3 linked regions of the Callithrix jacchus genome follow. The protein of the gene in region 1 purifies or fractionates together with the protein of each later gene. This does not show direct contact. Links are inferred from orthologs where the notes say so. Each region holds a gene or a part of one and is shown on either strand. Other genes may lie near its edges.

Region 1 (3,650 bases):
CCACTGCACTCCAGCCTGGGCAACAGAGTGAGACTTAGTCTCAAAAGAAAGTTTCGTTTTAAACATTAAAGGGATGTTCAAATTTGTCAAACTCCTTCCCTGTGCCACTAAAATGTCAACACCTTCCTTTAGAAACTATCAGTGTGGGCTAGGCGTGGTGGCTCACACCTGTAATCCAGCACTTTGGGAGGCCAAGGCAGGTGGATACCTGAGGTCAGGAGTTCGAGACCAGCCTGGCTAACATAATGAAACCCCGTCTCTACTAAAAATACAAAAATTTAGCTAAGCATGGTGGCACACGCCTGTAATCCCAGCTACTCAGGAGGCTGAGGCAGAAGAATCACTTGAACCAGGGAGGTGAAGGTTGCAGTGAGCTAAGATAGCACCATTGCACTCCAGCTTGGGCAACAAAAGCAAAACTCCATCTCAAAAAAAAAAAAAAAAAAAAAAAAGAACAAGAAAGAAAGAAACTGTCAATGTGGTAAATTATGTTCGTTGATCTTCTCATGTTCAAACCAATCTTACATCCCTAGAATAAAACTAGTGGCTGATGATATATTGTTTTGATATCAAACTTATATCAGCCTTAAAAATGCCTGGGGCCTATGCCCTATTTTACCTGTACTCTGAAAAAGCAAGTGCATGGGCCCTGCATGGGCCCCAATCATCTGTTCCTGGACGTTTAGTACAACTTGCCTATTGTGGCCTGGTATTTCTTCAAGGGAAGAGAGTTCTGACCACTCAATCAACTTTCCTTTTTCTTTTTTTTTTTTTTTTAAGATAGAGTCTTGCTTTGTCACCTAGGCTGGAGTGCAGTGGTACAACAATAGCTTACTGCAACCCTAACCTCCTAGGCTCAAGCAACCCCCTCACCTTGGCCTCCCAAAATGCTAGGATTACAGGTATAATCACAACTGGCCTAAATCAATTTATTATGAGATTATCTCAGTTTTTCACTTTTTCTTGAGACAACTTTGCAAGATGTGTTTTTTCTAGTACTATACCCCCTTCGCCCGTATGTTCAAATTTATTGGCATAAAGTTGTCTATAATATCCTATTATTTTTAAATTTCTGCTTTATTTATATCTAAGTTTCTTTTCTCTTTCTTAAAATTGCTTATGTGTACCATTTCCTTTTCCTGATCCACTTTATCTCTAGTACTTTTCTGGTCATGTTTTTTTTTTGAAGGACCAACTCTCAGTTTTACTGATTCTCTCCACTGCATATTGTCTTTCTACTCCATTTATCTAAGAATAGAAAAAGTAGGTACCTTGATGTGATTTTTATTTTAATAATTTTAATAGGAAGAACATACAAAATCCCACTTCTCTGCTCAATTCCTGCTTAATCCACTGCAATCATCTGTATTACCAGCTGTTTGCCAAATGCCATTTAATTGCTAAGGAAGTAGAAAAATACTGCCTATAATTAAGATGGTTTGCTTTAGAGAGATGTTTTCTGTTTCTTTTACCTTTTCCAGTATGTGAGATCTAAAAAGGAAAAAACTGGTGTTCTGTTAGAACCAGAAGCCATCTCTGTGTCTGAGCCGTCATCTGACTGGTTACTGTAACAAGGAGATTGAGCTGGGGAGGCACTTGAGGTGGTACTGTGAGCATCAGAATCTGCAATAAAGATTAAAAGAAAAAATAAAATTCTCAATTTCACTATATGTAATTGCATCCAAACCTCAACATAAGACACTGTGAATGAGTTGGTAAAAAAAGAGACAAAGTAAAAAATAATTCATTTTCTATGCACTACTGGTATTTGAAGATATTCAGACTGAAGTGTTTTTAAAACAAAGTGAAAAGATGGAATAGACATACTTTTTCCTATTCCTCCTGCTTATACAACTAAAATCCCCGAATATTTTATATAAAATAAACCTCAGGCTCCAAAAGTTAATGACCACCTAGGGAGCTCAAGACCCAAGGTAAGCCATGGTGGTAGGTTCCTTAGTTTTTCCGGATTTTCCTTTTGTCTCATAATCCCCAGCTTTGGCAGTGAAGCAGCAGCCACCCAGAAATGCCAATGGATACAGACAACCAAAATTACAACAACAACAACAACATAAAAATACAAAACCCCAGTTAAAGCCTGATCTCTCTAGCAAAGAACTAGGAAAGGGTAGCCTAGCCAGACAGAAAACGCTTCTAGACAATAACCTTTCTGTTTCAGCCAAACCCACAGAAAAAACTATGGGCACCTTTCCTAACCCCAGCAGAGGCTGAGGTGAAGAGCCTACATTTCCACCCTCACAAGACTTATGAAGCACCCCAACACCTTCCTCTAGAGGAAGCCTAGTGAAGTCAGGCCTTTCCTTATGGCCCACTAAGTACAAGGCCACCCTCACCATGTGGGAGACTGAATTCTCCTGATACCTAGTAGTAACAAGGAGCCTCCCTCTCCCACCAACTTCAGATATGTCAATGGAGGTTGAGAGAGAAACTCCAATTCTAACACCTGGTGGTAACAGGGTGGTAGTGTCCCTCCCTCTTTCCCTGTTCTGAGGGGTGTCAAAAAAGCCAGTTAAAATAGAAGGTTTAAATAAGACTCAAAGAATCACAACATAATCTGAAAATGTCCAGGTTTCAATAAAAAAATCACATAAGTTAAATAATAAGGAAGATCTCAAATTAAATGAAAAGGCCAACACTAAGATGACAAAGATACCAGAATTATCTGACCAAGATTTTAAAGCGGGCATGACAAAAATGCTTCAGTGAGCAACTATGAACATGTCTGAAATAAATGAAACCATACCCTTGGCAAAGAAATAGGAAGCCTCAGCCGGGCACAGGGGCTCATGCCTGTAATCCCAGCACTTTGGGAGGCCAAGGTGGGTGGATCACCTGAGGTCAGGAGTTTGAGACCAGCCTGGCCAACATGGTGAAATCCCATCACTACTAAAAAAGTACAAAAATTAGCTGGGGATGGTGGCACGTGCCCATAATCCCAGCTACTCAAGAGGCTGAGACAGGAGAATCGATTGAACCCAGGAGGCAGAGGTTTCAGTGAGCCGAGATCGTGCCACTATATCTCCAGCCTGGGTGACAGAGCAAGACTCTGTCTCAGGAAAAAAAAAAGAAAGAACTAGGAAGCCTAAGTAAAAATAAAACAGCAAACCATAAGGAAAAAATAAATGGAAAATTTATAACTGAATAAAATACAATAAAGAAAATAAAAACCACAGTGGATGGGCTGAGCAACATGGAGGGGAGAGAGAAAACAGTGAACTAGAAGAATAGAAATTACCCAATACGAACAACACAGAACAAATGAACAGAGCATGAGAAACCTGTGGAGCTTAATCAGACAAACATCATTCATGCCATTGCAGTCCTGGAGGGAGAGGAAAAAAGGAAGAGAGGTGAAAAAGTACTCAAATATAGTGGCTGAAAACTTGTCAAATTTGGCGAGACATAAACTTAAGATTCAAAAACCTGACCAAAGCCCAAACAGGATAAACTCAAAGAAATCCACGCTAAAACACATCACAATTAAACCTCTAAAAACTAAACCAAGAGAAAAATCTCGAAAGCAGCCAAAGCATAATGACTTTGTACCTATAAAGGGAAAACAAGATGCTGATTTAATAAGGAATAAAGGCAGTTCATTAGATGCAGAGCTAACCCTGATTTAATACTTT
Region 2 (3,650 bases), on another chromosome or scaffold:
GGCAGGAAGGCGGCAATCTTGGGCCGGTTCTCCACGGACGGCAGGCGCTGCCGCTTGGCCAGTTCCTTGGTGGTGGGGAGGTGGACGCCCTCTCTCTTCTTGGGTCGGCTCTTGGCCCCGGCCTGAGCCTTGGGCTGCAGAGGCTGTGCGGGCTGTGGCGGGGGCGCCTGGGGCTGGGGCGCGGGTGTCTTTTTGCCCGGAGAGTGGGCTGAGGGCCGTGCCTTGCTGGCCTGCTTGGTGGCCTTGGTGGGGAGCGCTGGCTGTGCAGAGGGACCAGCCGTGGCGGCGGGGGCCGCCTCATCATCTGAGCTGCAGGAAGAGTCCTCATCTGTGGTGGAGGAAGAGGAAGAGGAGGAGGACGAGGACGAGGACGAGGACGAGGACGAGGAAGAGGAGGACGACGACGAAGAAGAGGAGGAAGATGAAGATGAGGAAGAAGACGAGGAAGAGGAAGAGGAGGAGGAAGAGGAGGAGGAGGAGGAGGAGGAGGAAGATGAGGAGGAGGAGGAGGAGGAGGCCGGTGAGGCTGCCCTGGAGCTGGCAGCGCTGCAGTTGCGGCCCCCAGCGCCGCAGCCCCCGTCCCCGTTCTTGTCGCCTTCCTCCTCCCCTTCTGTCTCGGACCCGCTGCTGCTGCTGCTGCCACTGCTGCTGCTGCTGCTGCTCTCCGATTCTTCGGCCCCATCCTGCTCAGCCTGGGCCTTGTCCGGGCTCTTGGGGTTCCCAGAGTCCTCAAATGTGAGCCCTGGCCCAGGGTCCTGGGCGAGGTCCCCATCCACGGCCTTGGGCCAGGGCACCTTGGACTCGCTGCTGCTGGCTGTTGGAGGGTAGCTGCCTAGGCTCAGGAGGCTCTTGGGCTCCTGCCAGCCCCCAGCCCCTGGGTCCTCCCGCAGTAGCAGGGCCTCTTTAGCCTTCTTGCTTTTGGGTGACGTGACGCCCTCGTGGTCCAGTTTGACAAGTAGCTCAGCCTCCTCCCCTGGCCTCCGAGGGCCCTTGATGCCTGACTCCTCAGCTGCCCGTGCCTTCTTGGGCTTGGGGCGTGTGGCAGGCATGGTGATGAGAGGTGCTGGGGCCAGGGCGGTGGCAGGGGCTGGCAGCTCCCCAAAGGGCTCGGGTGCTGGGCAGCTGGTGAAGGCAGGTGGTGCAGGGCTGGACTGCGGGGGTGCCGGGCGCGCCTTGGGGGCCTTAGCTCGCTTGTCCACAGGCTCTGGGGGGCTCTTCTTGGAACCTGGGGTGCTGCTTGGCTCCAGGGCCAAGGGGGTATTGGGGACCTCATCTGCTGTGCTCCCCTCCTCCAGGGTAGCGGCTCTGTCTGCAAAAACAAAAGAAAACAGATGAAAGGCTGGGGTGGGGGCTTCCTCGCAGATGAGCTGTGGCTTTCATCAGAAAAGGCCTGCTTTCATGGGATGCTTTTTTTTTCTTGAGATGGTGTCTCAGTCACCCAAGCTGGAGTGCAGTGGCATGATCATGGCTCACTGTAGCCTTAACCTCCCTGGGCTGATGTGATCCTCCTGCCTCAGTCTCCAAAGTAACCTGAAGTCACAAGCATGTGCCACTATGCCTGGCTAACTTTTGTATTATCATTTTTTTTTTGTAGAGACATAGTTTTGCTATGTTGCCCAGGCTGGTATTGAACTCCTAGGCTCAAGTGATCCCCGTGCCTGGGCCTCCTACAGTGCTGAGATTATAGGTGTGGGCAGAAAGGCCTGGCTGAAACCGCGCCTGGCAGAAAGGCCTGGTTTCCATCCTGGGCTACTTCTTAAGACTGCCTGCCTGCTGTCTCTGTAAGAACTCTGGGCCGGGCATGGTGGCTCATGCCTGTAATCCCGGCACTTTGGGAGGCGCCAAGGTAGGTGGATCACCTGAGGTCAGGAGTTCAAGACCAGTCTGGCCAACATGGGGAAACCCCTATACCTGGCTGCGGCCCTCTTGGACCTCCTTGGGCGGCTCCCCTATATCAACCTTAAGTTATACTGGCCCCAAAGAGGGTCCTCTAGTAGCCTCTGCTTTCAGCTTGCATGAAGCATTTTCTCTGGACTCTGGAAAGAAACATAGGCCACTGCAGCTCAGCTCTGCCTCTGACAGATCAACCTGCTTCCCTCAGCCTCAGTTCCTCATTTGCCACCTGGTCAGAACAGCCCCGCAGTGCAGAGGTTTTTATTTTTTGGAGACAGACTTTCTCTCTTGGTGCCCAGGCTGGAGCACAATGGCGTGATGGCCTACTGCAACCTCTGCCTCCTGGGTTTAAGCGCTTCCGCCTCCACCTCCCATGTGGCTGGGACTACAGGCACCTGCCACCACACCTGGCTAATTTTTGTATTTTTAGTAGTCACGGGGTTTCCCCATGTTGGCCAGACTGGTCTTGAACTCCTGACGTCAGGTGATCCACCTACCTTGGCCTCCCAAAGTGCTGGGATTACAGGCATGAGCCACCATGCCCGGCCCAGAGTTCTTACAGAGACAGCAGGCAGGCACTTGGGCAGGTCCCCAAGCCCTGAGTTTGGATACCCAAAGGAGCCCCGCCCCCACCCCTGCCCTGGGGCCCAGGCCAACGTACCACCCTTGGCCTTGGCGCTAGGTTTCCGCCCACGCCCACGGGCCTTCGCTCCTGGCTCCTCCGACCCTGCTGTACCCCCGTCTTTGCCCTCCCCGGTGTCTTTGCTGGTCTTCCGGCTGCGGCGCTTGGCACTCGGCACCAGGAGTGCCGGGGACGGCTCAGCACCTGCGGGACAGAGGAGAGAGTGGCTCATCAGGCCTGGCTTCCCCAGCTTGGAGCGTCCAAGACCCTAGCCAGTCCCGGGGATCAGGGATGGGTCGGAAGCAACCGATGCCAGGTGGTTCACCCCCGGCAGGCTCCCGCCACAGGCTGTGAGGTCCAGCAGGGGAAGCCCCATCTATAGCAAGTAGCCAGAGGCTCCCGAATGAATGAAGTAAAATAAAACAGTTTGTGGAACTGGGATAGGCAGATACAGATGCTTTTTTTTTTTAGATGGAGTTTTGCTCTTGTTGCCCAGGCTGGAGTGCAATGGTGCAATCTCAGCTCACTGCAACCTCCACCTCCCGGGTTCAAGCGATTCTCCTGCCTCAGCCTCCCGAGTAGCTGGGATTACAGGCGTGCACCACCACACCCAGCTAATTTTATATATTTAGTAAAGTTTCTCCGTGTTAGTCAGGCTGATCTTGAACTCCCGACCTCATGTGATCCACCCGCCCTGGCCTCTCAAAGTGCTGGGATTACAGGTGTGAGCCACCATGCCTGGCCTGTTTGTTTTCTAGAGATTGAGTTTCAGTCACCCAAGCTGGAGCACGGTGGTGCGATCACAGCTCACTGCAGCTTTGAACTCTTGGGTTCAAGCGATCCCCCCACCTCAGCCTCCCAAGCAGCTGGGACTACAGGCATGCACCACCATGCCCAGCTAATTTTTCTATTTTTCATAGAGACAGGGGTTCACCATGTTGGCCAGGCTGGTCTTGAACTCCTGACCTCAGGTGATCCACCCACCTCAGCCTCCAGGCGTGAGCCACCACGCCCGGCCAATAACATTTTTTGATCAGCTTCCCATGGTCTGGGCCTATGGGCCTGTGCTGTCCTCATGCGCCCAGGACTCAGGAACTGGGAGCCCTGGGATCTCATGGGAGTTCCCACCCATGGT
Region 3 (3,650 bases), on another chromosome or scaffold:
TATCAAGTCATTTAGCAGACCTAAAAATACTTTGCTCTAGCTAAAACTTTTATAAATTTCCATGATGAGAGCAAGAAGAATGGATCAAAAGTATGATCTTTTTCTACAAATTTTTATCAGTAGGGTCTCTGAAGGAAGTTAATGGTATTTAATTAATAAATGCCATTCTATTATTTAATATTTTGTCAATCAGATTCATACACATACACATACAAAGAACAAATGATAAGAAGCCAACAAGCCAAAATGCATCTTAACCAAAAACAATTTTCTTACCCAGATTTTGCTTTTTCTTCCTCGGCTTCTACCTTTATGTTGAGGGATTCATCTACCCTAGTTGTGTCATCATCTTTGTCGTCCACATTTTCATTTTCTTCTGGTTTTTTAATGTTAACTTCTTTTTCCTGATCAGAATGTGTAGATTCTAATAAATTCTTTTTACTTCCCTAGAAAAAGATCAGAGGAAAGAAACCAACAAAAGTAAAAGTTTTCAACCTACATCCATGATTTCTCTCTTAGCAACAGGAGGTATCAACTAATGTTAATATTGAAAGTTGTAAACTACTTTTAAGAAACCTCTGCTATTTTTAAAGCACTAGACAAAAATAGCTAACAGCAATTTTGAAGTTATAAAAATTATATAAAATTGGCACTTAATAAAGAAAATAAACAAACAATGAAGAATAATATTATACAGTATATTGATTTTAGAACTTTATAGAGGATGTAAAAAATATACCAAAGAAGGCAAAGGGCAATTAACAATATCTAATTTACCAGAGAGGGCTTAATATTTTCCTTTCTTTCAATTTCATCCTCAGTAGGTTTTTCTTCTTTTGGTAGTGTATTTCTCTCCTCCTCAGTCTTTATGTCTTCGGTCTCTGTTCCATTTTCTTCCTTCACTTTTACATTTTCACACTCCTTACACTGCTTGTTAACGACTTTGTCTGGCAATGCCATCTGAAACGCAATGTTAGCTGATCTACAGTACTCCTCAAAACCGTATAAATATCTGGAACATGAAGAGAAATTACATTTGATGAAAACATTTCAAAATATAACTATAGAATTATTTTTAATGTGTATTCATTTCTTTTGTCTAAACTCTTAGATATTGAGCCACATTAACATTCTAATTTATTCCAGTTCTTTCTTTTTTTTGAGATGGAGTTTCGCTCTTGTTACCCAGGCTGGAGTGCAATGGCGCAATCTCGGCTCACCGCAACCTCCGCCTCCTGGGTTCAGGCAATTCTCCTGCCTCAGCCTCCTGAGTAGCTGGGATTACAGGCACGCGCCACTATGCCCAGCTAATTTTTCGTATTTTTAGTAGACACGGGGTTTCACCATGTTGACCAGGCTGGCCTCGATCTGTTGACCTTGTGATTCACCTGCCTCGGCCTCCCAAAGTGCTGGGATTACAGGCTTGAGCCACCGCGCCCAGCCTATCCCAGTTCTTTCTAATCTTTTCAATGCAAATAAAATATTTTGTAAAAAAAAAATCATTTAAAAAACTGTGCTCAGACTCTTAACAATAACCGATATTAAAAGTATTAGCAAGGCCGGGCACAGCGGCTCAAGCCTGTAATCCCAGCACTTTGGGAGGCCGAGGCAGGTGGATCATGAGGTCAACAGATCGAGACCATCCTGGTCAACATGGTGAAACCCCGTCTCTACTAAAAATACAAAAAATTAGCTGGGCATGGTGGCGCGTGCCTATAATCCCAGCTACTCAGGAGGCTGAGGCAGGAGAATTGCCTGAACCCAGGAGGCGGAGATTGCAGTGAGCCGAGATCATGCCATTGCACTCCAGCCTGGGTAACAAGAGCGAAACTCCATCTCAAAAAAAAAAAAAAAGTATTAGCAATAACATCTATTTGTTGCACATTTCTTATGTGTGAGGCTGGACCCCTTAGTAAATCTCATTTGGTCATTATGGTAATCCTGGGGCAAGCAGCAGCATCCCCTTGCCATCCCGCTTTTTTTAAAGACAGTCTTACTCTGTTGCCCAGGCTGAAGTGCAGTGGTGTGATCTCAGCACACTGCAACCTCCGCCTCCTGAGTTCAAGCAATTATCCTGCCCCAGTGTCTCCTGAGTAGCTGGGACTACAGGCATGAGCCGCTATGCCTGGCTAATTTTTGTATTATTAGTGGAAACAGGGTTTTGCCATGTTGGCCAGGCTGGTCTCAAACTCCTGACCTCAAGTTATACTCCTGCCTAGACCTCCCAAAGTGCTAGAATTACAGGTGTGAGCCACCATGCTCAGCCAAGCATCCCATTTTACAAATGAAGAAACAGGCTTAGGAGAATAAATAACTGGCCCAAGGGCATAAACAGCTAACTGGCAGAACTAGGATTCAAATGTAGATTTACTTGACTTTAGAATATTAGCTTTTTAACCTCTGTGCAGTACTTGACAAATGTACTTAGCCATAAAAACTTTCTTCACAGAATTTCTCATATATCTAGTATTCATAGAATATATTCTAGAAAATGCTATGACAGAATGACTAGTAAAATTTTCTGATATCTTTGAAGAATTAATTAGCCTCAGTTATAAAGTAACTTTCCTCCTGCTTTCTAGGTTAAAAAAAACTGAAGATAATCATATCAGTTCCACGAACTTACTTTTTATAAGCACATTTAACATTGTACCCTGCAGCTGAATTTAAGACAGGGATTCCAAGGTCTTGGTAGACTTGTTTCCAAACAGCTCCACTTTCAATCTAATGGACAAAGTGAAACAAAATTCCCAAATTAAAAGGTGTTAATATAATAACATTTTGATAGACACAGTATATATGAGTATTTTTTTAATTTATTGGTCCTAGTCTCAAAAGAATTTTTTTTAAATCCTGATAAATTCTAAATTTGGTTTACAAGTAAGGGTTTTAGTACTCTGACAAATATCACAGAATTACAAATATTGAAATATTAGGCCATTTGACTTTTTTGGCGGGGAGGGGAACTGGATTCCATTCTATTGCCTAGGCTAGAGTGCAGCAACAGTGGTACAAACAGAGCTCACTGCAGCCCCTAACTTTTGGGCTCAAGGGATCCTGCTGCATCAACATCCCAAGTAGCTGGGACAGTAGGCATACACCAACTCACCTGGCTAATTAAAAACCTTTTTTTTGTAGAGATGGAGTCTCACCATGCTGCCCAGGAAGGTCTCAAACTCCTGGGCTGCAGGAATCCTCTGACCTCAGTCTCCCAAAGTGCTAAGATTACAGGCATAACTGGCCCCATTTGACTTTTAAATAAACCCAGTTATAGAAAATACAAAAAATATTCAGGCTCTTAATTAAAAAAAAAAAAAAAAAAATGAAGACAAGCATTTTTAAAGGATTTATTATTTCTCATAAAATATATAATCTAACAAATGAAAGCAGTTCTACAGAAATTTGTATTTTATTCCACAGAACATTCTCAATTGGATATGTACTGTATATCGTTGTCAATCTTATTTCTTCAGATCAGTTCAACAAACATTTCCTGGCTTAATCCCTTTATATTCTTAAAGGATAATAGCCTTTATATTCTTTTTTTTTTTTTTTTTTTTTTTCTTGAGACGGAGTTTCACTCGTTACCCAGGCTGGAGTGCAATGGCGCGATCTCGGCTCACTGCAACCTCCACCTCCTTGGTTCAGAC

What was found.
Region 2: the proteins of SINHCAF (region 1) and TNRC18 purify together in Homo sapiens (affinity purification with mass spectrometry; 3 studies listed by BioGRID and IntAct, counting the BioPlex papers as one, with this or other methods). This does not show direct contact. The link is inferred for Callithrix jacchus from reciprocal best matches to the Homo sapiens genes SINHCAF and TNRC18.
Region 3: the proteins of SINHCAF (region 1) and ARID4B purify together in Homo sapiens (affinity purification with mass spectrometry; 3 studies listed by BioGRID and IntAct, counting the BioPlex papers as one, with this or other methods). This does not show direct contact. The link is inferred for Callithrix jacchus from reciprocal best matches to the Homo sapiens genes SINHCAF and ARID4B.

What each region holds. Positions count from the first base shown.
Region 1 is NC_133510.1:40,189,305-40,192,954, reverse strand, and holds part of SINHCAF (SIN3-HDAC complex-associated factor), read right to left. Parts: intron 1,624-3,650; coding exon 1,473-1,623; intron 1-1,472. UniProt on the Homo sapiens protein: Subunit of the Sin3 deacetylase complex (Sin3/HDAC), this subunit is important for the repression of genes encoding components of the TGF-beta signaling pathway.
Region 2 is NC_133503.1:17,199,789-17,203,438, reverse strand, and holds part of TNRC18 (trinucleotide repeat-containing gene 18 protein), read right to left. Parts: intron 2,720-3,650; coding exon 2,555-2,719; intron 1,310-2,554; coding exon 1-1,309.
Region 3 is NC_133520.1:50,011,166-50,014,815, reverse strand, and holds part of ARID4B (AT-rich interactive domain-containing protein 4B), read right to left. Parts: intron 2,725-3,650; coding exon 2,627-2,724; intron 1,013-2,626; coding exon 778-1,012; intron 447-777; coding exon 277-446; intron 1-276. UniProt on the Homo sapiens protein: Acts as a transcriptional repressor. May function in the assembly and/or enzymatic activity of the Sin3A corepressor complex or in mediating interactions between the complex and other regulatory complexes.